4 linked regions of the Arabidopsis thaliana genome follow. The protein of the gene in region 4 purifies or fractionates together with the protein of the main gene of each other region. This does not show direct contact. Each region holds a gene or a part of one and is shown on either strand. Other genes may lie near its edges. The genes, in order: Cpn60beta3, PBF1, AT1G09640 and AtCDC48B.

Region 1 (8,352 bases), on a different chromosome or scaffold from region 4:
TCTTCTTTGGGTACGTTTCTGTCCCTTTTTTTCTTTCGTTTTATTAATGCCCTCTCTGTTTTCTTTTCTATATCTCCCTCTCTCTACATTTATGTGTTTTACGCGTAGTTTATGTATGTATACACGTGTTATAACGTATGTTAGTAATTAATTAGGTTTCTAATGTGATTAATTTAGGAATTATAGCATTAACCTTTGTATTGTATCTCCCACGAGCATATTTTTTTTGTCATTCGTACTTTTTTTTGTTCGTATCATCACCACCAATATTTGTTACTTGACTATTATGGATGTGATACAGATTTATAAAGATATGCGTTGATTCAAAGATTAAACACTTTATCAAAAAACATAAAAAGATCACACACTTTTTAAGATGGGATTGATATTTATTGACTACTAAGATGCAAAACATGATTTTTTCACTCTTAAAATGAAAAAAATAATAGTTATCCAAAGATGTGATAACTAGCTAAAAAATACTCTCTTTTTTGTTAATAGATTGATGTGTTGAGTTTTTTTTATTCGATAAAGATTATGTTTTATTTTTATTTTTTGTGATCGATAGAGAAGAGAGAAGTGAAATATATTTATTTAAACTAATTAAGAGATAATAAAAATGATTTTTTTTTTAATTTGTGTGAAAAACCAAAACATCATTCTTTTTTGAAGAGAGAGTACGTGTTATCACATCTTTAAGTCACTTTTTTATTATATATTGTTTTTAATTTTGTATTTACTCTAAATAAAAACTGTTGACAAAAAAAAATTACATGCATGCATTGCATCGGATTTGATTATAATGATTAAATTTGTAAAAAATCTAAGAATGACTGAAAGATGTGAGAACACACATTTTTTAGCAGGTTCACTTATAGGTTAATATATAATCTTTTTCTTATCAATAACATGCATTAAATATTTAGATTTGACTCAATTAAACCTGTAGAAAAATTAAGGGTTCCTAGGAGATGAGAGTATGCATGTACCTTATATATTGTTTTTTTATAACAAATAAAGTATTTAGACCATGTCATTTATAATTTATAAAAATTATATTTATAACATATCATTTTAGAATTTAAATATTTTAATTTATAATTAGTTTATTTATTTATTTGTTTGGTAATCATTATGTTATTCAGACAAATAATTTAAACATTTCATACAATTAGTTGAAAATGAATGAGTTTTGCTAATTGTTATTCAAACTTTAATCTCCATGTAACAAATCTTTCTCTCACTCGGTTTTTTATTACCACCATTCAAACTCTCTCTTGACGTTTCACTTTTGAATGTCTCGATTTCGATAAAATGACTCATAACAAATTGCTACGCACTAATAAATCAAATGTTGAAAAGAAGTTTCTAGGAAGACTACTAAATTGTTGCCTTTTACCTTAAATCCATTATCTAGTTGGAGCATCTTTATTTGTAGTGTTTCACTCTTTTGAGTAAATAGTAAAGAATATAATTTATACGAATTTGTAAGTTCTGAGAGGAATAAATAAAAATCGTAAACATCTCTAAAAATAGAAGAGTAAAGTCTTGAGAAAACCTTTTGTTTTTGTTAATTGCATGAGAAAATAACTTAGGATTTAGGAAACTACCTGACGGATTCTTTTCAAATTTTTAATCTTTTTGAATAACAGTATCGTGAGTAAATTCGAACTAACAGATTCCTTTGAAGTAGGTTAAGCTTTTATACTTCAAATAAAATATAAATATATAAAAATCAATCAAATCATTCGGCCGTCAATTTTTTTTATTTTATTAATATATTATTCTTCTTGAAGACGAAAAGAAAAATAGAGATAGCGAATGGTGACAAGCACAACTGGAACCCTAATTTGCATAGCTCACAGTCTATCAATTTATTCCAATCAAACATCTTCTCCATTCACACGTGATCTACAAGCTTAAAACGTTCAATGCAATTCTCAGCTCAAATATCACTTGTTTCGATCTGGATAACACGACCGAACTATAATTTTCTCAAGCCAACCAGATTTTAACTCTCATCGTCAAGTCACCAGAAGTAAAAACATATAATTTACATTGATAAATATGTGTGTTTAAATCGGACATCGAAAACTTTAGTGGTGGCTTTTGCCTCTTGAAGCTATGGTAGTATGATTATAACTAAAACTAAGAGAACTGAAATGGGTTGCTCTAGGATCTGCAATAGATATGTCCTATAATTCACACTAACGATTAAATTCGTTTAAATAGAAGAAAATATGTGGCTAGAATCGTTTCATGTCTTTGCAAAACTAGTATAACTTTACTTGCAGTTTTTAAAGTATGATTAACTTTGAAAATGCTCTTAAAAGTGTATAATTTTTTTTCCCATCAAATCTTTTTGGTAGGTTGAACAAGAAAACAAAAGTTAGTAAGGAAATTTCAAGGAAGACAACTAAGTAGCTATCTCTTGCGTTTGCGTAGGTTCATCATCAACTTTAAAACTCTAAATTTGGTTTACAAAAAAAAAGTTATGAACAAACCCGAAAAAACAACAAAAGGTTACGAAAGAGTGTGTGTCAGAGACTCAGAGTTATAGTGGAACCCACTCGAAGCTTTTAAAGTAAGATTGACTTTGAAAATGCTCTTAGAAAATTTCTCTCCTCGATTATTACTTTGTATATATTGAAGAATAAACCAAAAAGTTGTAAAGAAATTACTAGGAAGATCACTTACTTTACTATCTTTCTTCAGTTTGCTGACAACTCTGAAACTCAACTAATGTGGTTTTATAAAAAAAAAAGATCGATGAACGAACAAGAAATAAAGATTATGATGTGGATTGTTAGTATAAGCACTAGAAATGGTTGATTTTTACAAATTCTCCAAATTTCATATATATAAAAACATATCATCAATAATAGTTCTGTTAAATTTAGTATAGATCATACAAAATGAAAAAAACTTCTCAGCTTTACAGATGTTTACTTGGTAGTCTTTTTAATTAATGTTTGGGGAACATTTTAAAGTTTTAAAGTAATAGACAATATACTCCACATTATGTCATAGTCTATGCTCAGGTAAAGAGAATTGTTGAACTAATTAAATAGATTACAATTTTAAAGTATCAAGATATTGGCTATGGAGGCCACAAAAAACCACAAACAAAGTAGTAATTTAGTATTGTGCTTGGTTGTTGGCTTGTTGCTGCTCATGATTTTGTGCATATCCTCGTTCGTTTTAATTTGAAATAAAGAAAATGATACTAACTAAATCAAGTCTATTGAGCACTGCAAACTGTGTCTCTTTAGTGAAGTTGTCATATTGAAAAACTTGATCTTGAATCGGAGAACACAGAACCAAATTATATGTTTCTTCAGGTCACTGGAAAAACATATAATTTACATTGGCTTAAAGAAGTTTCAGATCAGGAAGTGAAGAACTTGGTCGTGGCTTTTGCTTCATCAGGGACTACTCTGTTCTCAATTGCCAACTTAGAAGCCGTAACCTGAAAACCGACAGAGAAATTTTGTAAGAATAAAGTTGCAGATTTTGTTAATGATTCAGAGGATTCAAGAAGAAGAACTAAGAGATACCTGAATTGTCCATAGGGTTACCAGCAGGAGCTGCTGATTCAGGCTCCTTGATCTCCACAACAACACAATCAGACATCAAGAATGTCTTTGCCACAGATGAAGCATGCTCTAGGCAACATCTCACAACCTTGAAAAGAAGAAAACTCGGTTAGCACCCGAAACAGCAGATTTCAATATGTGAAAAAGTAAGGAACTTTGCTCACTTTGGTTGGATCAATGATTCCTGCAGCCATGAGATCTTCGTATTTGCCAGTTGCAGCATTGTAACCATGTTTAGGGTTGTCACTAGAAAGAACCTGTCAACCGAAAAAAGCCATTGACTTAGTTTCTATATCAAAAGACTCAAACTTGCATTCTTTTAAGGAGATTGATTACCTTCTCACTGACAACGCTGCCATTGACACCAGCGTTCTTGGCGATTAACTTCAGTGGGTAGCTCAATGCTTTCTTAACAATGTCAGCTCCAACCTGGAGGTTAAGATGAATTGTAAAATGGCGTTATAACCCGCAGACGGCAAACTCCTCATTCATGTTATCTTTCTCTGCTGTGCAACTCTTCTGGACTAACCTTTTCTTCATCGTTTGCTAGAGTCTCTTTAATAGCGTCCACTTTCGATGCAAGTCTTAGCAGAGTACATCCTCCGCCAACAACAATACCTTCTTCCACAGCAGCCTAATTAAAAGGTCCAACAACTTAGTCTCTACCATATGGATGGAAACATTTCAAGGCTCTTTGCTTAGAGATGATGTTACCTTTGTAGCATTAAGAGCATCTTCAACTCTTAATTTCTTCTCCTTAAGCTCTGTCTCAGTTTGTGCTCCAACCTAAAGAATATAAAACGTTTAGATTATTCTTCTTATTACCTTAAGCTACGCTTTTTGCATCATGTGATTTGTTTCTTAGTATCTCACCTGAATTACAGCAACACCGCCTGATAATTTAGCAATTCTCTCATTAAGCTTTTCCTTTTCATAGTCTTGTTCAGCAGCCTACACAAACCCAAAGACTTAATCACCGTAACATAAAACCAATTTATTGGGACATTTCAATGTTTTTTGAGATGTACCTCGATAAGATTCTTGATCTGTTCAACTCTCTTCTTCACAACTTCTTCAGTACTTCCATCACCAACTATCGTTGTAGTATCTTTTGTGAGAACCACTTTACCAGCATTACCCAAAACTTCTGGTCCAACTTTCTCCAACTGAAGTCCAACTTCTTCCCTAATCACAGTAGCTACAAAGAGAAAAACAAACACAGCAACTTGAGAAACTAAACATGCTTTTTTTTAATATAGAAGCAATAATGTAAAGAACACTTAGTATATTGGTCTAACCTCCTGTAAGCGCAGCAATGTCATCAAGGTACTGGCTTTTCCTCTCTCCAAATCCAGGAGCTTTCAAAGCAGCAACTTTTATTGTCCCACGAAGCTTGTTAACAACAAGAGTCGCTAATGGCTCTTGCTCAATATCTTCAGCAATGATCAAAAGCGGGTATCCACCTTTAATCGCATCTTCCAGAATGCTAATAATATCTCTAGCATTTGTTATCTTTTTGTCAACAAGAAACAACTACAAAAGCAAGAAGAGACATATAGTCAAAAAATACTGCGGTTTTTTATCAGCTATTAAGATTTAACTGTATAAACAATAATAATACCTTGCAGTTCTCATATTCTGCACACATTTTCTCACTGTCGGTGACAAAGTAAGGAGAGATATAACCACGATCAAATTGCATTCCTTCAACAACGTAAAGGCTGTTCTCAGCGCTTTTGCCTTCCTCTAGAGTGACAACACCTTTACGACCAACTTTTGCCATTGCTTCTGCAATCATATTGCCTACTTCGTAATTGTTTCCTGCACTAACTGCTGCAACATCTGCTAGTTCACTGTCTTCAACCTGCAATCCAGAAAAGAGCTACATGATCAAGAATCCTCTAAAGCACATGAAAAGAGCTAGATTAAGAATCTAATTAAGTCAACAATACCTCCTTTGACATTTTCTTCAACTCAGCCACAAGAGCTTTGGTGGTTTTCTCAATACCTCTGGTAATCAAAACAGGATTTGCACCAGCAGCTACCACCTACACAATTCAATCCACATCATATCACAACAACAACAAAAAACACTGGTTGTTTCAAATTCACAAAAGAAAGACAATAAATTACAAACCTTTACACCTTCAGCAATAAGACCTTGAGCAAGAACAACAGAAGTCGTTGTTCCATCACCAGCTAAGTCATTAGTCTTGGAAGCAGCTTGTCTCACTAGCTTAGCACCAATGTTCTCAACTGGATCCTCAAGCTCAACCTAAACAAACAGCAAAAGCTTTTCAAAATCTACAAATCGATTTCACACCTGATTACACATTAGACACAACAAGAGATAACACCGTTACCTCTCTAGCGACCGTAACACCATCATTAACGATTCTAGGGGAACCGTATTTGCTCTCTAGAACAACATTCCTGCCTTTAGGACCTAAAGTAACCCCAACTAAATCCGCAAGTTTATTCACACCAGCCTACATAATGAAATGATATAAGTTATTCAATAAAGAACTAGAAGTCACAAAATCACCGAAATAGAATAGACTCACTTGAAGCTTCTTAATCGCAGTCCCGTCCTTATTGAAATGCAATTGCTTAGCCGCATATATTTTAGGAAACCTTGCTTTCCTCTGAGCAATACTCTGAGTCCTTCCAAAAGAGCTTGATGAGATCGAAACAAAAGATGACAATCGATTCGAAGGAGGAGCCAAAGATGAACCCATTGACGACGTTGCGCTAAAGGTTGATGCCATGGTTTTTCACTCTCTGCAAAAACAGATCAAAATCAAAACTTTATAGCTTGAATGAATCTAATAAACCCTAAAGACACAAATCAAAGTAAAACTTTGTAATCATCGACACAAATCAAAACAAGGGTATCTGAAAGCAAACAACTTTTTACCTAAACTTTGATCGAAATGATTCAACTATACACTTACTTAGAAGCTAGCGATCAAGAGATGGTTCAAGGGTTTTAGCGACTGAGAGAGGTTTTCTTGTGAAGAAGATGAAAGTCGATTTATGCGATTGTAAAGTTATGATTTTTGTTTAATTTATTCGATACAAAGTGTGTTTGGTTGCATAGTGCAAACGGACTGGTGAAGTTCGAGGATCGCGTCTTCAAAGGTTTCAGGTTAAGTCTGAGCCGTTGGATCAACTGAATTTGGAAGAATCTGGAACACTTAAACCCTAAACCCACCTACTCTACTCTCTTCACGTGCGAGTGACACTTTGATTAACTACTCATTGTTTGACACGTGTCACGAATTCAATACAACGTCGTTTTCGCTTGTCAATTATGAACAGAGACTGCTCTGTTCTCTTAAAGCAGAGAGAGGAATGAGGTTTTTGATATATAACAGAACTGAGGACCAAAACTTTGATTAGGATTTAGGAACTTACACGAGTACAAACTCTAGCTTCTCTATAAACTTTACCTGGTCTACATAAATAACCTTTGGTAGGAGCACAATGAGAATCCTCTGAACAAATACATAGTCCCTCCAATGCACATCCTTGTTTCACAATCGTCACGTTTCCTTTTAAACCTAGAATCTGATCAGTCCATTCAGTGGAAAACAATCCTAAAGAATCAAATTTCTCTTTTACTTTTAAAAACGCGTTTGCGTTCTTGTATTTTCTAATGGCACCATCAAACGCTAGGTTCCTATTCTTCCCCCAATGTGGTAACGCATTGTATTTGAATATCGCCATTTGCTCGATTTCTTCAATGTAATCCTCGTATAGACGCGGTGCCAATGGATCATTTTTGCTTCTGTAGTAAGTTAGGTCAAAATCTAAAGCTTTTTCTTCTTTTCCGAGAAATGCTAGAGAGGATGTGACATAGCGGATGAGAATACCGTTGCTGCCTTCAAGTACGCATAAAGATTTCGGTTCGATCTTCACAAGTGCTTTGATGTCGTTGATGAAACTTTTGACATTTGTGAGAGAAACACTGAATGTTGTTTGGTGAAAGAATTGGCCTTTTATCCGTGGATCCCATGGACAAGCCGTGATTAGTCCGTCTTGACGACTGTCTAGACATGAACCTGACGACATCATATGGTTTTGCATTCCGATGACCGGATAGCCTGTGAATATTAGGCCTGTCCATGGAAATTACTAGTGAAAGTTTTGTATAATCTTATATCGAAACAATCAACAAATGTATAAGCAAGTAAAAGAAATACCGTTATTAGTCACACCGTATGACATTAAAAACATAGACGACGATACTAGCTTTGCCCTCACACACTTCATGTTTGCATCTTCAAGTGACTCTTCACTCTCCTCTGCATGACATGAAGCAAAAGTATATATATAAGAAACATTATAGCTATGCAAATCAAAAATATTGGTATTAATTATCTTGAGAAATAAAGATTTACCTAAGGATCTATCTATGGCTAACACTAAAGAGAGTTGTGAACGGAATGGGAAAAATTCGAACAAGCCATCTCCCGAAGTATTAAGCGGAACTCGGCCATCCATGCGATACACCACTTTTCCTTGGCTCGGTAACCATAAGAAATCCGCAAACTCGTGTCTTTCGCCAAAACTCACTGCTTGATCTCCGAAATCCGAATCGTTTCTCATAACATAATTTAACGATCTTTTGAACATTGGTTGCAATTCGAAAGTTACTTGAGAGATAACACCAAGAACACCTAGAGAAACTTTGGCTGCGCGAAATTCCTCCGGATCTATAGTCTCGCTAAGAACCTGAACCTTTACATACCCA
Region 2 (6,785 bases), 2.7 Mb from region 4:
TCTCATCAATATCATAAATTAATAATTCTATAATATATATATATATATATATATATATATATTTAAGAAAATTTAGTGAAATATGATTATATTGTTGTTTGCTTATTCTTCAACTTTTTTGGAGTTCATCTCTAATCTTCCTTACTGCATTAAAAACTTCTGGGGTTGTCTTTTCAAATCGCATCAAATCGCATCAAAAAAATTATGAAGTGAAATTTTGAAATCATAGAATTATAACAAAACTCCTTATTTTTACATATAGAAAAGTTTCAAAAATCTGAAAACCAAAAATTCTCTTTATAAATTAATAAATTAATATCTCTCTAAATTAATAAAATATCTTTGTCCCAACATTATTAATTTATAAAGGTTTTATTGTACTAAACTAACACATACTAACAAAAGAGTTGTTTCAACAACACCGTATCTTTAGGTGGTTAACATTGATTCGTTTGGGAACATTTTCGAGAGATGCGTTTAATACAGTGAGATTGGGTGGTTTCCTTTACTTGTGACGTCAACAGATGGTTACTATTCTGGTGGTCACAGACCTTATAAGTGAGTGAATTTTGTTTCTGTTCTTGAACGTTAAAAAATGAGTCTTGTGAAAGAAGGTACTACTACTTCTTCTGAGTTTATATACGTCACCAATTTAGAATCTAACGGGTTGCGTGCAAAATTTCAAGAATTAATAGTTTTTTTTTAATTATGAAAAAAAAATCAAGAAAGTCAAAGAAAATCTACTAATTATCTTTCCATTTTAAATTTCACTAATTAAAAACTTTTCCGATTATATAGATGAGAGAAGGGATGAGATAAGCTAACAACAAGTAACAAGGTAAAGAGGCAACCAATTTACAAAATAAAAAAAATTGAATTCTGTTTAGACATTAACACTGACCCTTTCCTTCTCGAATTTCAGCAAACAACACCAACAAAACAAAAAGGGACTGTGTTATTTGATTGTACAAGTACTAAAGATCTCAAAACAAAATGAAAAAGAGGATCTTGGCCATTCTCTGCATCAAAACCAAGAGTTTCACTGGTTACATATCTGCAAAACCATTTAGAGTTCCACTGACAATGGGTGTGTGTTGGCATTGGCAAAGTTACCTTGTCAATGTTTTCAGAAAAGGGCTCATTGAACACATATTAGTCGATATTTGGAAGCCATAATTTGAAATGTACTACATAATCTGGTCCACATCTTCAAACCAAAGCCAACCAAAAAAAAAATCCTCAGCTACAACAACAACATCGTTTTATAGTCTATGGTTTCAGAAACATTTCCTGTGAACCACTGATGGTCCAGTCTCGTCATAATCTGCTTTAGTAACGTGCTGATTCTGCGGAAACACCACTTTAGCTAGTATGGCTCCTCCAACCCAAGCCGAATACATCCCCAAATTCTCCGGCATATATTCTGGCGGTTTCACCAGTGTTGGCCTAATGGCAGATGAGCACAAGTTTGCTTCTTTCTGGAATCTACTTTCGAATCCTGCCATCGACCATTCCAACAAACCCTTCAGTTTTCCGACCCAAAAGATATTCAAACACACTATGATATCAAGTGTTGTTAGTACCTGTCATGGAGGTTGTACCACCACAAAGTACAGTGTTCTCCAAGAGCTGCCTATGGTTCTCAGATGACACTGTGGAGATAATCCGGACAAGCTGCTCAACGATTCCATGCTCCTCCAGTCCCAGTATTGATGGCTGAAACAGAGCTTCTCCAACCGAGTATCTCTCTCGCCCGATGCTTATCACCTATAAGGCCATTGGTTTTGTTATCTATATGTATAAGGTAACAACACAAAATGTAGAATCTTGATTTCACACAAACCTGTCCATCAGGAAGAGTATGCTGCTCGATTTCACAGTTTTGGGTTTTTTTGTAAGCAATTTCGTCCTCGGCACAGTTTGCATACTGCTCCTTGAGTTTTTCAACATCAGACATGCTGAGATTCATCGACGGGTTGGTTTTTCCAAGCTCTTGGGCAAATAATTTAGTTAGCTCGGTTCCACCTAGCTCAAACCGTTTCGAGGCAATGTGTTGTACTGCACCTTCAAGAACTGGGGCAATATCTGAAAAGAGTTGGATCAACCACAAAGTTAAAACATCAGACATAACAACATCCTGATCATATCCAGCTATAAACACAAGAAGAATCCAAAAAAAATTGGTTTAACAAAACGTTTAAGATCATGGAAAAAGGTTAGTATAGGGAATCAGCATCTCATGTAACATCATAACTCACATAAAACATGGAATTATGAGTTTATGACAAAGTGAAAGACACAAAGAGTAACAAAGGCCAAGCAAGTTATAATACCTATCTTCCCATGACCAATATCAACAGTGCAACCGGAGATGCGTCCAACAGCATAAAGGGACAACACTGCTTGCTCAGATGCATAAAATCCAGAGACATTGAATGTTTCAAACATCAACTGCACCAATTGCTCCCTAATAGCCTGTCCACAAACAAACATTTGCAGAGCCAAATCAGGTCGAAACATTAAAAATAACAACGTCTTACTATCTAAAATGAGGTACTAAAAGAACAAAATTGTTCCTTTTCATAATCCAACAGAACAGGATTATGGGAATTGAAAAGAGACTCAAAGTTGTAATCTTTTAAATTAAGAACAAAGGAGGAAATTTGGAGATAAGAACCTTAGGAGTACAAAGTGGATCTGTAAAAAGTATATTGCCTTCGTTTCCCTCTTCCCATCCAAGCCCAGTGTAGACAACATAACGCAACAGATCTTCCATAGCATCCCAATCTCTAATCAAACCCCTTTCAATAGGATCAAGAGTGACATCCTCAAAGACAGTGGTGGGGTTATCAGCTGAAGAAGACCCATCATCAACCATTCGTTTCATTTGAGAGGGAATTATCATTGCAGGAGACTGGTCAGGAATTGCTGCTCCTGCTTTCAGGAACTTAGAGCCAGCATCAACAACTAGTGCTTCCATTGTTTTCACACACACACCCAAAAACCCTAAATTCCCAACTTTCCACAAATGCCAAGATTTAGTGGTAGCAGCAAGTCAGTGAAGCTAGAGAAGTAGAAATGAGAGAAGGAACTAGAGTGAGAGGCAAAAGAAAGAACGGTTTTTTCGAAGAACAAATCAATGGTCTAGAAGGGAAAATGGAAGCAGCTTACGAGTTTGCGTTGAGAGAGAAAATCGAAGACGAAGAAGAAGAAGAAAAGAAAAGAAAGATTATTTCTTTGGAATTCAAAGCCCAAATAAGGCCCATTATAAAGCCTATTACAGCCCGTAATTTCCACGTCCAAAACGGTATTGTTTTGAGTCTCCGTCTTTTTCTTGTTAACAAAGCCAGAGCTAATAAGATCCGATTCGGAAGTTTCTTTGACATCAAAACACAAACCCGGAAAGCTTCGTCTGCCATTTTTCATTCTTCTAAGCCCTAGCTCAAAGCTTTCTCTCTCAAATCCGCCATGACTAAACAGCACGCGAACTGGTCTCCTTACGATAACAATGGAGGGTACGGATCGTGTGACCTTTAATCAACCTGCTGGGTTTCTTCGCTTAGTGTCTTTCTTCTTTATTCTGATTTGCTATCTGGGCGATTGTGTTACGATTCACTTACTGTGAATTTAATCGTTGTGTGTTTTTCAGAACATGTGTGGCCATCGCTGGATCGGATTACTGTGTTATCGCCGCCGATACTCGGATGTCTACTGGTTACAGTATTCTTAGTCGCGATTACTCCAAAATCCATAAACTGTAAGTACCCATTCTCTTTCTTCTCTCACTGTTGATTCTTTGGGAGAGTGATTCCATGCTGGCAATCGAACTATTATTGCTGTAGATTATTAGGGTTTTTTTGCAATCGTAATTCGTAGATCTGGGTGAAACCAGTTATATATGGGTGGAGATAAAATAGGTTTCTTAATTATTATTAGACATGGCTTTTGATAGTGGTTACAATTATCTCTATATAAACTTTGTGATTACATTGATCATTCTATAATCCGGTTTATTGCTTAGCTTATTCGTTTTCTTATAACGTTTATTGACAATGTGTGTAGTTCTTTGAGTTTGTTCAACCTTACGTAAAGAGTGTTTGTTACTGTGTTGTTGATCTTATATACCACAAGTATTCATTCGTATGGAAATAGATAGAATTCTCGTGTTTTTCATCTTATGTAACTTGTAAGACTCTTGTTAAGCTGTTGTCTTCTTTTAACTTTTCCAGAGCGGACAGAGCTGTTTTGTCTTCCTCTGGCTTCCAGGCTGATGTGAAAGCTTTGCAGAAGGTTCTCAAATCCAGACACTTGGTGAGTTAAACTTTGGTCGTTTGATCAATTATCTTTCATCCTTCGCAGTATTAGAAAATGATGAAAGACTTGTGTAAGAGTGTTTTCTCTGTGTTTGGTTTCCTTCAGATCTATCAACATCAGCATAACAAGCAGATGAGCTGTCCTGCAATGGCCCAGCTTCTCTCCAACACGCTTTATTTCAAGCGGTTTTTCCCCTACTATGCCTTTAATGTTCTAGGAGGGCTTGACGAGGAAGGTAAAATGCTCCTCTTTTTTTCTCCGTTATGATGTGACTTTAGAAGAGGGTACTTTGTGTGATCTTTAGTCTTGAATATATCCAGGAAAAGGGTGTGTCTTTACTTACGACGCTGTTGGCTCATACGAGAGAGTTGGATACGGTGCTCAAGGTTCTGGTTCCACACTCATCATGCCTTTCCTTGACAATCAGCTCAAGTCTCCAAGTCCTCTTTTGCTACCTAAACAGGTTTGTTGATATTCTTCATTCGTGCTTTTGGCGTTTCGCATTGTAAAGATAAAATGAATCGTTCTGTTGCTTATTTGTTCGTCTTCTGCCACCATGTAGGATTCAAACACGCCCCTTTCCGAAGCTGAAGCAGTTGACTTGGTTAAAACTGTTTTCGCATCTGCCACAGAGAGGGATATCTACACTGTAAGTTGTCCTATTTGTGTCTTCTTTTGTCACCACGCCACCTAAAGCTTGCCTTTGTGCTCATATCATTTGCATTTGGTTCAAGTCTTCAAAATATTACCAAAACATTTACTTAATCTATATCCCTTACGTTGCACAACTACTTCATCTTCCTCAAGTTTTTTTCTCTAACTAATGCTTTGTGGATTGTTTACTGTAATAGGGAGACAAGCTTGAGATTATGATACTTAAGGCCGACGGTATCAAGACCGAACTCATGGACCTGAGGAAAGACTAAGCTCCTTTAGTGCATTTAGCCAACCTTATCGGTTTGTTATTTCACTTCAACATCGAGCTTCCTGAGTTGTAGAACTCGTATGAAATGCTACTGGGTTTGATATTTTACAGTTAAAATCATGACTCGTGTTTGAAGTTTCTCCAAAACTGTTTCCTTATGTATGAGAATCACTCGAATCCTTGTCTTAAATCAATGTTTCTCTCACTATTTATGGCAATGTTTTTACATAGATCACATTAAGATATTTAATAGACAAGAATAGAATCTGGAAACTCTTTTCTTCAGAAGCTGTTCTCTGATACCCATCCCTTCTTCTCTAGCTCTTGTCGCAATGCCTCCATAGGTAAAAAATGAAGAAAAGTGTGAGCATATTATCTATTAGCCAGTGGCAATAACAGAGATATATCACTTGAGTATCCGAGTTGTTACCTTTATTCGCTTTCTATTGACATCAAAGTCGAAGTTCCCTTTACGGGATGCAGATCGATATTCCACTTTCGAGTTCTTCCCAGGAGTGAACAAGAATTCAACATCGTCTACTAACTGTCAAAAACCAAAGGGTCTTGTCCAATATATTGAGGTATGGAGGTTGAGAGAGCAACATAAAGCTTACTTAACTTACCCCCAAGATTGGACTTTCATATTCCACATGAACGTAGTCATCCTTCTTCTCCACAATCCGCGGTGTAAATTTATCCGGTTTCACCGACTTAATCTGCAACAATGGTGATAAAACCGCTGTAACTACTGGAAGATTACAAGAACTTCAAATGGTGACTGGATTCATATCTTGAGATTGCAGTTCATGTTTAAGGATTGTACCACATTAAGAAGCTCTTTCATTGCAACTTGCCTGTTCACAGGTGTTTTCCTTCCTCCATTATAGTTCCTGCCCACCAGGACAACAAGACAGTGTTTGATGATCAAACATTTCAAACCAGAAGACCCAAATCTGAACACAAAAAGCTCTTGAATTACCATGGTGGAGCATAATGCACTCGATCACTGATATTCTCAGAAGTGGAGATACAGTTATTAGTGGCAGGACATAGAGCCAATCTCTCGTTCTTTTGTACTCCTAGATAATCTGGTTTTTTCCCACTAAAACCACTCACAAATATTTCATCATCATAATAACACCTCAGCCGTGGGGATGTAGAATTCCGGTGAAGAAAACATACCTAAGCTGGAATATGGCTCCGATCATAGCTAATTCACTGCTCCTAAGAATGATATCTCTTCCAATTTCACAAAGATCTCAAAATCAGATACTTGGTTCGGTGATAAACACGAGCACAAGCAGGAGAGAAAGAGACTAGTACCTTCGACCAATTAGCTTCGGATGTTTGTCATATGAAGTCTCTGGAATCGAGGCACTGATACGACGGGCATAGAAAACAAGTTTTCTCCGGCATTTGTGGTGGTACAAGCAAGTGGTCGGTGACGCCATGGAAGCCATCTTCACTAGCTCGGATTTCTCTTTACTCTTTGGAGTAAGAGAAGAAGAAGAAGAAGTTTGTTACTTCTTACAGGGCTTACTACTAT
Region 3 (7,540 bases), on a different chromosome or scaffold from region 4:
GACGTTCAATTTCTTTTTCTTTTTTTGTTTTTTTTTTTTTGTTAAATAATATTCATGTTTTCTTTCTCCTCCCCTTTTCAAATGTTACTGGTTTTTTATTGTGCGATGCTTATGTCGTATATTATATATGGTGGATTGTTTAATGGTATAATTTCATTGTATTTGCAGAAATTTAGATTTGCATGAAAAAAAATGTTGAGAAATTTGAGTTACACCTCAAACTTGAAAGATTAGTAATGGAAGCAAATCTAAGAGACTAATAGTTAAAAGAATTCTCGACTTTGGTTCTAGAGAATGTGATTGATTAATCCTTTCAATCTTTCATCAACACCACACAACATGTTTAGTTAGTTATGATAAGATAAAGAAACCATACATAGATAACATCTTTCAAACTCTTTAGATTCTCAAGAGTCTAACCTTTGTTAAAAATAAGAAAACTATATGATAAAAACAAGGGATGCAAAACAAATATATTGAAAATTTTCTTCAAACGAGATTATTATTTGGCTTAGCTTGTGCCTTCTCGTTCGTCTTGCTCTTACCATCTTCTTTCACTGGATCCTTCTTCTCCAAAGTTACAGAAGACGACGCTTTACCATCTTCTTCTATCTCAAGAGGTTTCGAGCACCACCTATCGAGCAAATTGCATAAAACCGTCACCATTATTATTCCTGCGACGATAATACACCATCCCCAGATTGGGATCTCCATCTTTTTTATGTATTTGTTTTCAGTGACAAAGAAACAAAGTAAATTGTTTGTTGATGATTACAAGTTGCTTAAAAGTTGTTGATATTATAGGAGGCGGGAACTACTCGAAAGACTTGGAAATTTACCATTTTGACAAAAAACTTGCTAGAAAATAACTAAAATAAAAGTAAATCATTCTTCTAATTTTTTTCAATTTATCAACTTTAAAAGTATATTTCCTTTTCTTCATAAATCTCATAAACTAGCAAAAAGATAATGTCATAAACTAATACTATAAAATATATATTTTGTTTTTTTTGTTCCGTCAAATATATATTTTTGGTTTTGCCTGTATTCTTGTTGACTTCCGTTTTTTTTTTCCCCCTTTTTTTTAATTAACTTCCTTTCTTTGCTTTTCCATTTCTTCTTGATTGAAAAATGTATATTGTGTGATTTTGTCTACTTTATTTAAATTATCTTTGAAATCGAAGAATTTCTGCTCTATTAAAAATTCAAACTATAGTCTACGTTGGTATTTGTTTATTTCATTTTATACTCTGCTTATTTTTCTGATACTACATTACAACTACCACTCAAAACTACAATTAATTCCCTAAAAATATTTTTCGTTTCCAAAATTTGTTTTGTGTGAACGATTCCGAACTCCACAATTGATATAAAAAATTATCTTTGAGTTATATTATCAACAACAGAAAAAAGAAAGAAAACAAATACAACGCAAGCCTTGAAATAAAGTCTCATAGATATTTGGCTTTTTTTAAGTGCAACACAAACAAAGCCTTTCAAGACGATGAGCAACAAGGCTTCTTAGCGTTTGATTCAGAAGTAGCAGCCACATCAATTGTTTGGCCTTCCTTGATGTTGGCATTTGCAGTTGTCTGGTCTGAAGATATCGACTTCTTGCTGATGATCCTATAAACCTCCGAGAGAATCGTCTGAAAAGCCTTTTCTACGTTTAATGCCTCGAGAGCCGATGTCTCGATGAAAGATAAGCCTTCTTTCTCTGCATAGCTCTGAGCATCCTCTGTGGCAACTGCTCTGAGATGCTTCAGATCTGTCTTGTTCCCAATCAACATGATCACTATATTGGAATCTGCATGGTCTCTTAGTTCTTTTAACCACCTGCTTACATTCTCAAACGTTGTTGGCTTGGTGACATCATAGACCAAAAGAGCTCCAAGTGCACCTCTGTAATAGGCGCTAGTTATGGCTCTGTATCGTTCTTGCCCAGCCGTGTCCCATATCTGAGCTTTCACAGTCCTTCCTTCCACCTTAGAACAAAGATCATAGGTTTTTTAATAGGTTAATTCAGATCTAATGAGCAGCAGACTCTATGATTAGTGTGTCTGCAACAACAAAATTAGTAACTTCGCAGCTAAATTCCACAAACAACCCAGTAAGAAAACTAGAAACTGTGAAACAACAACCATGATTCATACTTCAAAAGAAAATCATGTTCGAGATCAATTTCAGATGAAGAGATTCTTAGATCTGCCTTAAACAAGGTTTTAGATCTGACATGTGAGGGAGCCTTACACTACCACGTACCAGAGTATCGACAAATTTGGGAACATTATCAATAAAACGCTTAAATTAAGAGATACCAAAGCAAAAATCTCGACCAAATGAAAAAAACAGGCACCACACATGTAAACATCAAAATTCAAAACCAAGCCCAAATGTTCCTACACACAATGACTGCTTCCGAGTATTCATACGAACACAGATACGGATCGAATCGAAAAGCACCGGATGCTGCTTAACTTAGAACTAAACCTAGATCCAGCAACATTTCGATTACACTATATACTATATATATAGAGAGAGATGTGTGCGTACTTGGAGAGTACGAGTAGCGAATTCGACACCAATGGTGGATTTGGATTCTAAGCAGAACTCGTTGCGAGTGAATCTAGAGAGGAGATTAGACTTGCCGACACCGGAGTCTCCGATCAAAACCACTTTAAACAAGTAGTCGTATTCTTCGTCCGGTCTTCTCGCCATTGTTACACTTTTCTCGAGGAGTGCTTTAGATTTGGGATTTTGAAATAGAAAAGGAGAAGATGACAGAAATAAATAAATAATTTAATTTCTCTTTCCCCTTGGATCTTCTCTATTCAACCTTCTCGGCTTGTTATTGCCCAACGACGAAGACCTTTTCTTGTCAAGTTGGGCTTACTAAAAAAGCCTACATATATGTAATTCATTTATACATGCTAATAAAAGGGAAAGTAATTAGAGCTTAACCGGAAAATAAACAAAAATCAGAAATAAAACCAAACAAAACCGAGCCAAACCAGAGGAATACACTCAATACAGATTTTAAAAACCCTACTTCTTCATCATCATCCCTTCAACACTCCTTTATAGCTTTTCTCCGCCTCAACTTTTTGCTTCTTCTCTCTCGATTTGCTCTCACGGAAGATTCTTCAGAATATCTGGTAAGATCCATCGATCGAACAATCTTTTTTTCTCCAGTTAGCTCATATTCATATTTATGATCATGTCAATTGCGAGCTCACTGCTTGATTTTTTTTCCTTGGAACCAGATCCGATATCAGAAGCCCCAAGTTCGCTTGAATTCCGTCTGAGCAATGGCTTTGGTGAGTTCTCTATGATTGTCTACTGTTACGATCGCATCATGTATCGATATAATTGTAGAAACGTTAGATTTGTAAATTTTAGGATCTAAGTTTATAGAACGATTGTTCATACACCAAATTGATTAAAATTATGTTAGTTTGGATATGTAGCTACTCTATTGTTAAGTTATTGATTTGGAATACGTATTATTGTGCTGATGATGAATTACGATTGCAGGTCTTGCACACGTACAAGGGAAACAAAAGTGCTGAGAAGGCACTCATTGCAGCAGAGTACGTTGGTGTGCAGATCGATGTGCCCTCTGACTTTCAGATGGGTGTCACTAACAAAACCCCTGCGTTCCTCAAGATGAACCCTATTGGAAAGGTTTGTCATCACTGGTGTTTGCTAAATTTCTGGACTGAGTATTATTAAGTCTATTTTTCAGCTAACCAAGAGTTATTGATCTTGCTAGGTTCCTGTACTTGAGACTCCCGAGGGTTCAGTATTTGAAAGCAACGCAATTGCCCGTTATGGTAAAGCATTCATAACTTTCTCCTTTAATTGTCTCTCAGTGTCTAGTTTGATTGCTTGTTGTCGTTTGGGTTTAATGGATCTGTTGATATCTCAATACAGTAAGCCGATTGAATGGTGACAACTCTTTGAACGGATCCTCCCTGATCGAATATGTAAGTAGCTGTTTTTTCCCTGGGGGCTACTCTTCTCTAATCCATTGACACCTCTTCTATTGTTTGTCATTCTATTTGTTAGTATTCTCAATGGTTATCTGCATGTTGTTTTTTCGCAGGCACAAATTGAGCAATGGATTGATTTCTCTTCATTGGAGATCTATGCAAGTATCTTGAGGTGGTTCGGCCCAAGAATGGGCTTTATGCCATACAGTGCTCCGGTAAGCTTTTTTGACTTTCATTGGTTGTTTCATTCACTCTTTGTGATGGCAATCTAGGTATTCTTTTCACTATATAAATAGTCTCATCCGTGATTGTTATATAAATGAAGGCTGAAGAAGGTGCGATCTCTACGTTGAAGAGAGCACTTGATGCTCTGAACACACATCTCACGTCTAACACTTACCTTGTCGGACACTCTATTACCCTTGCTGATATCATCACTGTCTGCAACTTGAACTTGGGATTTGCTACTGTCATGACCAAGAAATTTACCTCTGAATTTCCTCATGTTGAGAGGTACTTCTGGACTGTGGTTAACCAACCAAACTTCACTAAAGTGTTGGGTGATGTCAAACAGACTGAAGCTGTCCCTCCTATTGCTTCCAAGAAAGCTGCCCAGCCTGCAAAGCCCAAAGAAGAGCCTAAGAAAAAGGAAGCCCCAGTAGCAGAGGCACCTAAGCTTGCTGAAGAGGAAGAGGCACCAAAGCCCAAAGCCAAGAACCCTCTTGACTTGCTACCACCAAGCCCTATGGTTCTAGATGATTGGAAGAGGCTTTACTCAAACACCAAATCTAACTTCCGCGAGGTTGCTATTAAAGGTGTGTGGTGATATCTTCCTCTACCTAGTTTTTCAGCTTTGCTATCAGGGAATTATTTAGCTATTGGAATCAATTGTTTTTTATCATGTCTAATATTGTGGCTCAAATGCAGGATTCTGGGACATGTATGACCCAGAGGGATACTCACTATGGTTCTGTGACTACAAGTACAACGATGAGAACATGGTGTCATTTGTCACGCTCAACAAGGTTGGTGGGTTCCTTCAGCGTATGGACTTGGCACGTAAATACTCCTTTGGAAAGATGCTGATTTGTGGGTCAGAGGGTCCGTTCAAGGTGAAGGGTTTATGGCTGTTCCGTGGACCAGAGATCCCAAAGTTCATAATGGACGAGGTGTACGACATGGAGCTGTATGAGTGGACTAAGGTTGATATCTCAGATGAAGCCCAGAAGGAGCGTGTTAGCCAGATGATTGAAGACGCAGAGCCATTTGAAGGTGAGGCTCTCTTGGACGCCAAGTGCTTCAAGTGAGAAGAGAGAATGGTTTGGTACTTCCATTTACAGGTTTTGCAGCTGGGGCTTTACATATCTTTCTATCTGTCTGTCTCACATAGGGGTTTTGCTCTGTGACGTGTCGCATAGACTGTTTTTTTCTTTTCTAATCGAGTGTCAAGGACAAGTCTTTTTAGTTCTTTGTTAATGTTTCGCCTCCGTCCAGAATTGTTTACTATACCAGTTTTCGAAATCCTGACCGGCCAGTCTACCCTGGCAATAGGCAATACATGGTCTGGTTTATTTGTTTTACGGTAATTTTGCCTTGATTGATTTTCTTTGACGCGTTTCGGTCAACTTATATACATTGGTCTTTGAGTTGAACATTTAGTGGTAAAGTCTTTTTGGCACATATATTGAACATTTTTCCAATTTTAAAAATTGCTGAAAAAGCAAACTCTTGAAGAATAATAAGTCTAGTTAATTTCGTAGAAGAAGAACTGGCATGTTCATCTCGAAATTAACTAACGAATAAAAAAAGGTAGACAACTTAATACGCCACACAACTCTAATAAAAGAACATGTAACTTATGACAAAATAATGTAACATTTGTTCATAATATTTTTCGTATCAGATTATATATACAAATTGCTGATTATAATTATTATTCGCTGTTTGACCAAAAAATAAAAAATTATTGTTTCGCTGAGAAATGTATAGATAATTATATTATACGTTAGATTGGTAACTACCAAAAATATTACTATATGTTAGATTGGTCACAAAATAAGAAAAGAAAGGTAGTGTATATCAATTTATTAATGACGTATTTAATAAAGTTGGTCTCAAGCGAAATGAATTGTTCTTTACTGCTACAAGGCATATAATCCTGTAAAGAAAATCTGGGTGGTCGAATTGTTCTTTTCCCTTTTTCTAATTTCAACATCAAAAGTTGTTCCACCAGAAGAATTTGTTCTCTGCAGCAGTAAAGATCGATCCGTTCTTGCTTACAAGCAGAAAAATCATATCGACAGAGAGAGATGAGACAGAACTCAGCAACTGGTGGTCTTTCATGGCGGCGTTTACTGTTCTTCGCTTCGATTGGTTTGCAGTTCTTCTTAGGTTCGTCTTCTTCAGATCTATCTGATTTCATTTCACTTTTTTGTAGAATCCTCATCTGATTTAGTATTCCTTTGGGATTTTAGGTTCTCAATTCGCTAGATTTATGTTATATTTAGCTCAACTTGGCTCTTTCTAAATACTACAGTGTGTTTAATCTTTACGCATTAGGTCTTTTGCGATCAGGATCGAAACATGCAGATAGGAAGATTGTATTTCTCTTTTGAGTAGATCTTGGCCAAATCACTAACTTTGTGCTTAACATGTTAGTGAAGAGAAAATAAGCAAAGAGGATTTTACCGTTCAGTTCATGGGTTTGGTGTGGTTATAGTTTCTTTTACTAACTTCACTGGATAATAGTTGTTTACCTTTGTCCTAAATGCGAGACCATGTCCTGATTTGAAGAGGTTGTCTGCAAAATCTATTGCTTTTGTGACAAGTATTTATATAATTCCTCAGTTGTTTCATGGTGATGCTGCAGTTGACTAATGAGATATGTATTTACTTGTTGCCTATAGTTTTCAGACATTTAAAGTTCTTACATAAGCTATTTATACAATTGGCCACCATGTGCTTTTAAAAGAAGTAGGCTCATCTCTTTCTCTTTCCCGTAAATTTCTTTAAATGCATGTTGCAATTGATCTTGTTCTCTGTTGTCTATGTGTGTAGCTGTTGTTGTTCCCCTTTAGTCGAATATAAGAAACATGGTAACTATTTGAGGATAGACTGTGTAGCTTTAGCTGACTAGTGAGTGTCTACACGACAAGATTTTACAGTCACGAGTGCACTTGAGGACACCATAAACCTTGATTTTTTTTTGTTGTATATGCTAAGAGGGCATCTAGTAACTAAGTCTTCTGATATGATATTTTCAGGTCTATCGGGTGATTCCAAGAACACGAATGCAGGAGTTAAGACAGAATCTCATACTTCTTCCAGCAAAACAGGCACAAAAGTTATCCTTGTTCTAGTTGGATTTGTGGCTGTGGCCATGTTCTCGTTCTTCCTATACAAGCTATGGCAAAAGAAGAAAAGAGACGAGCAGTATGCTCGACTGTTGAAGCTGTTTGAGGAAGATGATGAACTCGAGGTTGAATTAGGTCTTCGAGATTAAAAACGCAAATTTGTCAACAAAGGCCTCATGTTTGTTTGTGTTCGTT
Region 4 (8,457 bases):
TAAACCAAACTAAATCTTATATCTTCAATTCTTTAATTCTTGATATTATTTGTATATTTCTAACAGAAAAGAAAGACCGGCGATGAAAATCAGTTTTCTGATTCAATTCTTCCTTCTTGGACTCGTTGGGTATGATCTTGTCTTTATATCTTGGAGTCAAGATCAATGACAAAAAACTTTTGATTACAATACTCATTTTTGGTTATAGAATAACGTTAAACCAAGGATTTTACATCTTTGGATTGGACAATACCTCACCAACATTCGCATCAGCAACTGAAAATGTTGTTCCTGCTGTTTCATTCCTCATGGCAGCGTTGCTCGGGTATGTTCTTGATTCTTTATTGGAGATAACTTGGGAAACAAGATGTGTATCTTGCGGACCAATTATTGTGGACCCTCAAAGTGGGCTCTGATACCACTCATATCTCATTTTTATTATGACACACCAACAATTGTAGAATAGAGAAGGTGGAATGGAAGAGGAAAGATGGTATAGCCAAAGTGGTGGGGACAATTGTATCTGTCGCAGGCTCTTTGGTTATAACACTCTATAAAGGACCAACCATTTACCAACCGAGTCTGAATATAGTGAACCAAACTATTAAACCTGAAGAAGCAGAGGAAGAAAACAAGAACTGGACGTTGGGATGTCTCTGTTTGATGGGTCACTGTTTATGTTGGTCAAGTTGGATTGTGTTACAATCACCATTGCTTAAAAAGTACCCAGCTCGCTTCTCCTTCGTCTCCTATTCTTGCTTTTTCGCAGTGATACAGTTCTTTGGAATTTCGGCTTATTTCGAGAGAGATCTAGAGAGGTGGAAGATAATATCAGGAGGCGAATTATACGCGTTACTCTACACTGTAAGTGTTTGTTTATTTTCTTAGATTAAGACTCTTTTGAATGGTGTGATTGATTTTGGTGTGAGTTTGAATATATTTCAGGGTTTAGTTGGTTCAGCAATGGTGTTTGCAATACAAATATATGTAGTGGAAAGAGGAGGACCTCTGTTTGTATCAGCGTATTTGCCTCTTCAAACTTTGATTGCTGCTGTTTTAGCTACTTTAGCTCTTGGTGAACACTTTTACCTTGGAGGGTATGTTATCTATATGTTTTGACTCATTATGCGTTTTATTTTCATATCTTATAGTTAAGTTTCTTACACATTTTTTAATGTTTGTTTTGGTCAGATTGATAGGTGCAATACTAATCATGAGTGGACTATACTTAGTTGTGATGGGAAAGAGTTGGGAGAATCAAGCTCTTTGCCAACAACAACAACACATGATTTCTTCAGCAGCATCAGATTTTGGTGATGAAGAAGACTACCATAATAATAAACCAAGATCTCCTATTAGTCAACCATTAATTTCTTCCTAAATTTTGTTAGATCCTATTTATGTCTTAAATTCCTAGTTCCTACTCTCTTCCTCATTAAAATCGAAATGGACCCGGTTGACGAAATAGAGATAAAAATAAATTTGGTTAAAATCGGTTTAGAATTAAATCGATTGGTTTGGGTTTAGTGCCACAGTGGTTAGGTGAGTAGAGTTGTGGTTCGGTTCAGGTTATGATATTATAACCTGGAGGGATCAAAATTGGCGCTTTTAAAAACCAAACAAACAAAAACAGAGAGGAAACAAAAAAATGAGAAAGCAAGAATCAGAGGGAGCGAATCTTGAATTCGAATCCAAATCAAATGACAATGGAAATGTGAAAATCGCACCAAACGACCAAAGTTTCCTCACAATTCTTGACGACATAAAGTCTTCCAAATCTCCGGTTCTTACACACGACAACTTATACATTTGTACACGTTTTTAAGACCGAAGCTGGTTTTTTTTCGTAATCTGACTGTTCTTCTTGTTTTTGCTTTGTTATATTCAGGCTGTTATTAACTATGGAGCTTCTTGGTACACCTTATTCTCTGTTTTTACGATTACGCTTTTCATGCTTATAAAGTGTTCGATGAAATGCCTCAATGAGAACGGTTTTGTTTTGAAACTTTCAGGTGTGGAGTTTGTAGCCAGATTCTTCCTGCATTCCGAAAGCTCAGCAACAGTTTCTCGAAGCTCAAGTTTGTTTATGCAGATATCGACGAGTGCCCTGAAACCACTCGTCACATCCGTTACACACCCACGTTTCAGTTTTACAGAGACGGCGAGAAAGTCGATGAGATGTTTGGAGCTGGTGAACAGAGGCTCCATGATCGTCTTTGGCTTCACTCTTGAATATGTTCATCAAATATTAACTATGAAAATCTGCATTCCTTTTGTGATACTTTAAATGCCAACACAAAAAATACTTGGCTCTTCGACAATAATCCCCTGAATAAGTTTGGACTTTGGTAGATTAATGTTAGGGATAAACTTACAGAAACATCAAAGGTTAAACAGAGGATGGAGCTAACATTCATGATACAACTCTTGACAAATAAATATGAACACCGAGCTCCTCACGGCGGCTCTTTCCCTCTCAAATAATTTGGTTTAACCGGGTATAATGACCTTGAGAAACATTGAAGTCTCTAAATCACACTCTTGCCAATCTCAAAAGCACCAAGCTTCACCTCTAAACGGTTTTGTTTTCCAGGAATGAATTGGGTTAATGTAACTTTCTAATTTGGGTCAGGTTTGAGATTGGACGGTCTTCCACCACAAAAAATATCAACCATTAAAACTTTTATTGTTGCCCATTAAGACCGACCTTCTTTTCGTAATTTTTTTTTTAAAACGTAACTTTGTTGAATTTGTAAAAAAAATCTCTTGTGAAATTATCACAATGTTTATTCAAAACTAAATAAGAACATACTAGAAGCTTTTCTAAATTGGAAGATGTATAAAAAAAAAATAGAAGAAAAGAATAATAATAATGGAAAACAAATACTATAAAATAAACGTTTCTTTGATAACAAGAAACGGATTTGTCTTCTATATAAATAAAACACACACCTGTCTATTTATTTACACTTCTCGAATCTTCTTTTTCTTCTCTGCGAAGCTCTCTCTCTCTCTCTACTCGATTATCAAACATGGCGAATCAAGCTGAATCATCTGATTCGTAAGTACTTGTTAATTACTGAGTAACTCTTTAAGGTTTTGTTAGTCTTCGTGTTGGGGTTTTTCTAATTCTATTTTTTTTTCTCTGAATATCTCAGGAAGGGGACGAAGAAGGATTTTAGCACCGCGATTCTGGAGAAAAAGAAGGCAGCGAATCGTTTGGTTGTGGATGAAGCCATTAACGATGATAACTCCGTCGTTTCTCTTCACCCTGATACCATGGAGAAGCTACAGCTTTTTCGTGGTGATACTATCTTAATCAAGGTTTGATTTTTGAATTTTAAGGCTCTTCTTCTCTTGTTTCCTTTACTGAATTAGGGTTTATAAGGTTTTGTGATTGTTCATTGGTTTGCTGCTAGGGTTTATCAGAAGGGTTGTTTTTTGAATTAGGTCTTTCAATTTTCATGCTTTTGTTTTGGGATAGTTTCTTTGAGTTGTGTGTATTTACATCTTTGTTTTCTCTCTTTTTGTTTTGGGAATCTGTGGTTGCAGGGAAAGAAGAGGAAGGATACTGTGTGTATTGCTTTAGCTGATGAGACATGTGATGAACCAAAAATTAGAATGAACAAGGTTGTTAGGTCTAATCTCAGAGTTAGGCTTGGGGATGTTATTTCTGTTCATCAATGTCCTGATGTCAAGTATGGGAACCGTGTTCACATCTTACCTTTAGATGATACCATTGAAGGAGTAAGTGGCAATATATTTGATGCATACCTTAAACGTAAGCGTTTTCTCTTCCCTGTTTTTGTCATTTAAGTTGTGCTCTGCTTATATGCTTCTTGATGTGTTCTGTTTTTATCACAGTAGTTTAATGTCTGTTTTTTTTATTTTTTATTGCCAGCTTATTTCTTAGAGGCATATCGTCCGGTGAGGAAGGGCGATCTTTTCCTAGTTAGAGGAGGGATGAGAAGTATTGAGTTTAAGGTTATTGAAACTGATCCTGCTGAGTACTGTGTGGTTGCTCCAGATACAGAAATTTTCTGTGAAGGTGAACCGATAAAGAGAGAGGATGAGGAGAGGTTGGATGAAGTTGGGTATGATGATGTTGGTGGTGTCAGGAAACAAATGGCTCAGATTCGTGAACTTGTTGAGCTCCCATTGAGGCATCCACAGCTCTTCAAGTCTATTGGTGTGAAACCTCCCAAAGGAATCTTGCTCTATGGCCCTCCTGGTTCTGGGAAGACACTTATTGCCCGTGCTGTTGCTAATGAGACTGGTGCATTTTTCTTCTGTATCAATGGTCCCGAGATCATGTCGAAGCTAGCTGGTGAGAGTGAAAGTAACCTCAGGAAAGCGTTTGAGGAAGCTGAGAAGAATGCCCCTTCGATCATATTCATTGATGAGATCGATTCGATTGCTCCAAAAAGAGAGAAGACTCACGGAGAAGTTGAAAGACGGATTGTATCCCAGCTCTTGACACTTATGGATGGTCTTAAATCCAGAGCCCATGTGATTGTTATGGGAGCTACCAACCGTCCCAACAGCATTGACCCTGCTTTGAGAAGATTTGGACGTTTTGATAGAGAAATTGATATTGGTGTTCCTGATGAGATTGGTCGTCTTGAAGTTCTCAGGATTCACACCAAGAACATGAAGCTTGCGGAAGATGTAATGTTCTGTTACATATAATTATTTTCTTCTTTTCTTTTACCTTTTTCTATTTGTTTAGATCTGACATTATTTTCTCTTATTCAGGTTGATTTGGAAAGAGTATCTAAAGACACCCATGGGTATGTTGGTGCTGATCTTGCAGCATTATGCACTGAAGCTGCTCTCCAATGCATTAGGGAGAAGATGGATGTAATTGACCTAGATGACGAGGAGATAGATGCTGAAATTCTCAATTCTATGGCTGTCAGTAATGATCATTTCCAGACTGCCCTTGGTAACAGCAATCCTTCAGCTCTACGTGAGACTGTCGTTGAGGTGCCTAATGTGTCTTGGGAGGACATTGGTGGTCTTGAGAATGTCAAGAGGGAGCTCCAAGAGACTGTTCAATATCCAGTGGAGCATCCTGAGAAATTCGAGAAGTTTGGGATGTCACCGTCTAAAGGAGTCCTATTCTATGGCCCCCCTGGTTGTGGAAAGACCCTCTTGGCTAAGGCTATTGCGAACGAGTGTCAAGCCAACTTCATTAGTATCAAGGGTCCTGAGCTCCTCACAATGTGGTTTGGAGAGAGTGAAGCCAATGTGAGAGAGATATTCGACAAGGCACGACAGTCTGCCCCTTGTGTTCTTTTCTTTGATGAGCTGGACTCCATCGCCACTCAGGTATTGTACTTGGTTTCTTAATCTCTCTACTTAGGCAACTTATGCCCTTTACCTTTATCTCAGAAAAATTAATGAACATCTCTTATAATAACAGAGAGGGAACAGTGTTGGAGATGCTGGTGGTGCAGCAGATAGAGTATTGAACCAGCTTCTTACGGAGATGGATGGAATGAATGCTAAGAAGACGGTCTTCATCATCGGAGCTACAAACAGACCAGACATTATTGATCCTGCACTTCTGCGTCCTGGTCGTCTCGATCAGCTCATCTACATTCCTCTTCCTGATGAGGAGTCTCGTTACCAGATCTTTAAGTCTTGCTTGAGGAAATCACCTGTGGCGAAAGATGTTGACCTGAGGGCTCTTGCTAAGTACACCCAAGGCTTCAGTGGTGCGGACATCACAGAGATTTGCCAGCGTTCTTGCAAGTATGCGATCAGAGAAAACATCGAGAAGGATATTGAGAAGGAGAGGAAGAGAGCAGAGTCGCCAGAAGCAATGGAAGAGGATGAGGAGGAGATTGCAGAGATTAAAGCTGGTCACTTTGAGGAATCCATGAAATACGCTAGGAGATCAGTGAGTGATGCAGACATTCGCAAGTATCAGGCTTTTGCTCAGACTCTCCAGCAATCACGTGGGTTTGGAAGCGAGTTCAGGTTTCCAGATGCGCCGACAGGGACTACTGGAGCTTTCCCTGGAGCTGCTGCCACAGTTGGGGGAGTCGACCCGTTTGCCACATCCGGAGGAGCAGCGGATGATGATGATCTCTACAGTTGAAAGGTCTGATCAGACCCTGTGACTACTCTCTTTAGTCTTTAACTTTGTTCTGCTTGAAAAACTTTCGATGGTCTTTGTTGTGTTTTATTTATAAGTCTTTTGTATATAATCGTTGAGACTCTAGAACAATGATGGTGTCATGATGAAATAAATCTAGAGAAATGAGAACACTGCATTCATCCCAAAGGAAACCGGATATACATACACAGATTTTGCGAGTACACAGATTCTACACCCTAACTAGAAAGAATCATCAAACTGATGTAATTGTTGAAATATCTTCTTTATATAAAATAGAAGTGCACAGTTGAGATCTCACGAGTCTCTCTCTCTTTATTTATTCTGGAAGCGGAACCAGACTTGGAACGTAAACAAAGTTAACACAATAGTTAAGTTCATCTTCACCGCTAAAGGGTTGTCCTGTCTCAACTTGTTTTCTGATCTCATCCAGACCACCAATTTGGTACAAGCTGGTTCAAGCATAATCCTCTCCTGCAACTTTATTGCAGCATAAGGCCTGTATCTGTTATGTATCAAGATTATAACAAAAATAAAGACGATGTCAAATTTTGTTCAAAAAGAGTCCAACTAAAAATTCCTCAAATTTTTCACTCATTTACATTGTTTACTTTTGCAAGTTATGAAAATCGCTCTATAAAACCTTTTTGCACTTAGTAGAAGTCCTTTTACAAAAAAAAAAGTTAAAAACTTTGTGTTTTTTTTCTTTCTTTTGGGTGACATTGTGGGTAATTTACTTTTCGAGTTTGTTGTGCTCATCTCTCAAACATATCTCATTTGGACTCTTTTGATTATTGCAAATATTAATTATAAAGTCTTCATGATAAATCTTATGAATTTTGTTATACAGATAGAATCATTTGTGTAACCTGAGAGAAGGTTGAGAATATACACTTCTTTTCTCATTCTTCGTGATTGTATCACATATAACAGTTTTGTAATTGTAAGATTATATACAAACATACACACATAAATACTTTATTTGTTTGTTAATAAAAGATTGATGTTTTGGACTTTTTTAATTAACCATGCGTGATCTCGTGCATCTAGATTCTTTTCCGCAAGATAAGTCATCCTCACAGTAAAGTATGTATATCAGTATATACAGTTATGCACCACTACTACACAAGAAACAAACTTATGATGAGTGAGACGATCGCACAATCACGATCCTTGTCAGAAGGACCATCATAGCTAGCGTCTAATATTGTCATCATATACAGTACGGAACTACAACTAGGCCTAAAATCGACGCAATAAATTACCTTTTAAAGTAAAAAAATGCATGATCATTTCATCATCTATAACGATTGTTCTTAACGCTCAAACGACCACGTCACGGTAATCCAAAATCTTGTTTTCTATTCAAATTAAAAACTTATACTAAAGCATAAGTCTCTGTACAAAATCAAGTTAGCTTGCACGTTACGATATATTGGCATATTGGTTTTGACTGGAGAAACATAGCAGAATTTTTTTCAAAATGGAAAATTTTTAGTCACCTTGAAAATCTTATAAGATTTATACTTTAATTTATAGAGAAAAATATGCATGTGACACACGAAAGAGGACGGTCTTGGGGTTGGACTTGGCCCGCTCTCTTGGATAAAATCTACACAAGCCGCACGTGGGAAGTCTACAAAGACTGCTACAAAAGACACCACCTCGTGGGGGGTCTAGCTCATAAACTGATCACACGCGAGCACAAAACCTTTTTATGTTTATTATTATCTTTTTGGATGTTTATTGTTAGAAAACCTAATTATGTCATCTAAATGGATGAGTAATTAGTTGTAAAAAAAAAATGGATGAGTAATTCACTAATAGATACAAATTATACATAACTTAATTAACGGAATGCAATATATTATACAACAATGGTCAATGAAAGTTCAAGGAGTGAAGATATTGGCATTATACTGTATTGATACTATTGAATATGATAAATTGATGGAAATAGATGGAAATTGATGGAAATAGTCATGAGATTACAAAAATCATAAATTCGAAAGAAGAAAATGGAGGCAAGTGTTTGGGTTTCAACGTATGTCAGAGAGATGCACGTGTTCTCTCTTCTTTTCCAACCCCAACGGGTCCCAAATCCCTTTTCTTAGCTTTTTCCTTGTTTGAGTCCAATCGGCTTTTGCAATCCAATGAATAATGATCTTTCTCTTTTATTATTTTAAATTTTGTAATTAAGGCTAGAAGTCTAAATTAGTCCCAAACATTACCCATGTGACTAATGTGGCAATGTCTTACTTAAGATATTTCTATTGTTATCTGTTTTTTTTTCTAATGTTATATGTTAGTAATGTGAATATGACAATATGTGA

The links.
Region 1: the proteins of AtCDC48B (region 4) and Cpn60beta3 fractionate together in Arabidopsis thaliana (co-fractionation; one large-scale study listed by BioGRID). This does not show direct contact.
Region 2: the proteins of AtCDC48B (region 4) and PBF1 fractionate together in Arabidopsis thaliana (co-fractionation; one large-scale study listed by BioGRID). This does not show direct contact.
Region 3: the proteins of AtCDC48B (region 4) and AT1G09640 fractionate together in Arabidopsis thaliana (co-fractionation; one large-scale study listed by BioGRID). This does not show direct contact.

What each region holds. Positions count from the first base shown.
Region 1 is NC_003076.8:22,872,070-22,880,421, reverse strand, and holds Cpn60beta3 (TCP-1/cpn60 chaperonin family protein), read right to left. Parts: upstream 6,755-8,352; 5' UTR 6,551-6,754; exon of another isoform or gene 6,514-6,550; intron 6,378-6,513; 5' UTR 6,365-6,377; coding exon 6,161-6,364; intron 6,086-6,160; coding exon 5,960-6,085; intron 5,872-5,959; coding exon 5,734-5,871; intron 5,645-5,733; coding exon 5,549-5,644; intron 5,461-5,548; coding exon 5,218-5,460; intron 5,130-5,217; coding exon 4,895-5,129; intron 4,795-4,894; coding exon 4,625-4,794; intron 4,548-4,624; coding exon 4,470-4,547; intron 4,383-4,469; coding exon 4,311-4,382; intron 4,231-4,310; coding exon 4,126-4,230; intron 4,026-4,125; coding exon 3,933-4,025; intron 3,854-3,932; coding exon 3,761-3,853; intron 3,685-3,760; coding exon 3,558-3,684; intron 3,470-3,557; coding exon 3,456-3,469; 3' UTR 3,015-3,455; downstream 1-3,014. Other genes in the region: GulLO4 (D-arabinono-1,4-lactone oxidase family protein), read right to left, coding at 7,002-7,717, 7,802-7,903, 8,000-8,352. UniProt on the Arabidopsis thaliana protein: Involved in protein assisted folding.
Region 2 is NC_003074.8:22,470,493-22,477,277, reverse strand, and holds PBF1 (N-terminal nucleophile aminohydrolases (Ntn hydrolases) superfamily protein), read left to right. Parts: upstream 1-3,338; 5' UTR 3,339-3,468; coding exon 3,469-3,515; intron 3,516-3,649; coding exon 3,650-3,757; intron 3,758-4,229; coding exon 4,230-4,311; intron 4,312-4,419; coding exon 4,420-4,549; intron 4,550-4,634; coding exon 4,635-4,777; intron 4,778-4,876; coding exon 4,877-4,963; coding exon of another isoform or gene 4,964-4,967; intron 4,968-5,165; coding exon 5,166-5,240; 3' UTR 5,241-5,509; downstream 5,510-6,785. Other genes in the region: ARP7 (actin-related protein 7), read right to left, coding at 1,278-1,498, 1,584-1,767, 1,844-2,085, 2,334-2,475, 2,678-2,980; AT3G60810 (DUF1499 family protein), read right to left, coding at 5,522-5,575, 5,670-5,783, 5,863-5,955, 6,063-6,129, 6,219-6,341, 6,422-6,478, 6,563-6,699. UniProt on the Arabidopsis thaliana protein: Non-catalytic component of the proteasome, a multicatalytic proteinase complex which is characterized by its ability to cleave peptides with Arg, Phe, Tyr, Leu, and Glu adjacent to the leaving group at neutral or slightly basic pH.
Region 3 is NC_003070.9:3,116,854-3,124,393, forward strand, and holds AT1G09640 (Translation elongation factor EF1B, gamma chain), read left to right. Parts: upstream 1-2,885; 5' UTR 2,886-3,155; intron 3,156-3,263; 5' UTR 3,264-3,308; coding exon 3,309-3,317; intron 3,318-3,534; coding exon 3,535-3,684; intron 3,685-3,772; coding exon 3,773-3,833; intron 3,834-3,933; coding exon 3,934-3,986; intron 3,987-4,105; coding exon 4,106-4,207; intron 4,208-4,317; coding exon 4,318-4,807; intron 4,808-4,919; coding exon 4,920-5,299; 3' UTR 5,300-5,689; downstream 5,690-7,540. Other genes in the region: AT1G09625 (uncharacterized protein), read right to left, coding at 490-714; RAB11c (RAB GTPase 11C), read right to left, coding at 1,497-1,985, 2,554-2,718; AT1G09645 (uncharacterized protein), read left to right, coding at 6,302-6,383, 7,256-7,494. UniProt on the Arabidopsis thaliana protein: Probably plays a role in anchoring the complex to other cellular components.
Region 4 is NC_003074.8:19,720,384-19,728,840, forward strand, and holds AtCDC48B (ATPase, AAA-type, CDC48 protein), read left to right. Parts: upstream 1-2,966; 5' UTR 2,967-3,032; coding exon 3,033-3,061; intron 3,062-3,158; coding exon 3,159-3,324; intron 3,325-3,552; coding exon 3,553-3,781; intron 3,782-3,901; coding exon 3,902-4,668; intron 4,669-4,755; coding exon 4,756-5,331; intron 5,332-5,425; coding exon 5,426-6,106; 3' UTR 6,107-6,745; downstream 6,746-8,457. Other genes in the region: UMAMIT6 (nodulin MtN21 /EamA-like transporter family protein), read left to right, coding at 67-129, 209-325, 462-864, 946-1,097, 1,192-1,381; AT3G53220 (Thioredoxin superfamily protein), read left to right, coding at 1,649-1,783, 1,889-1,914, 2,013-2,232.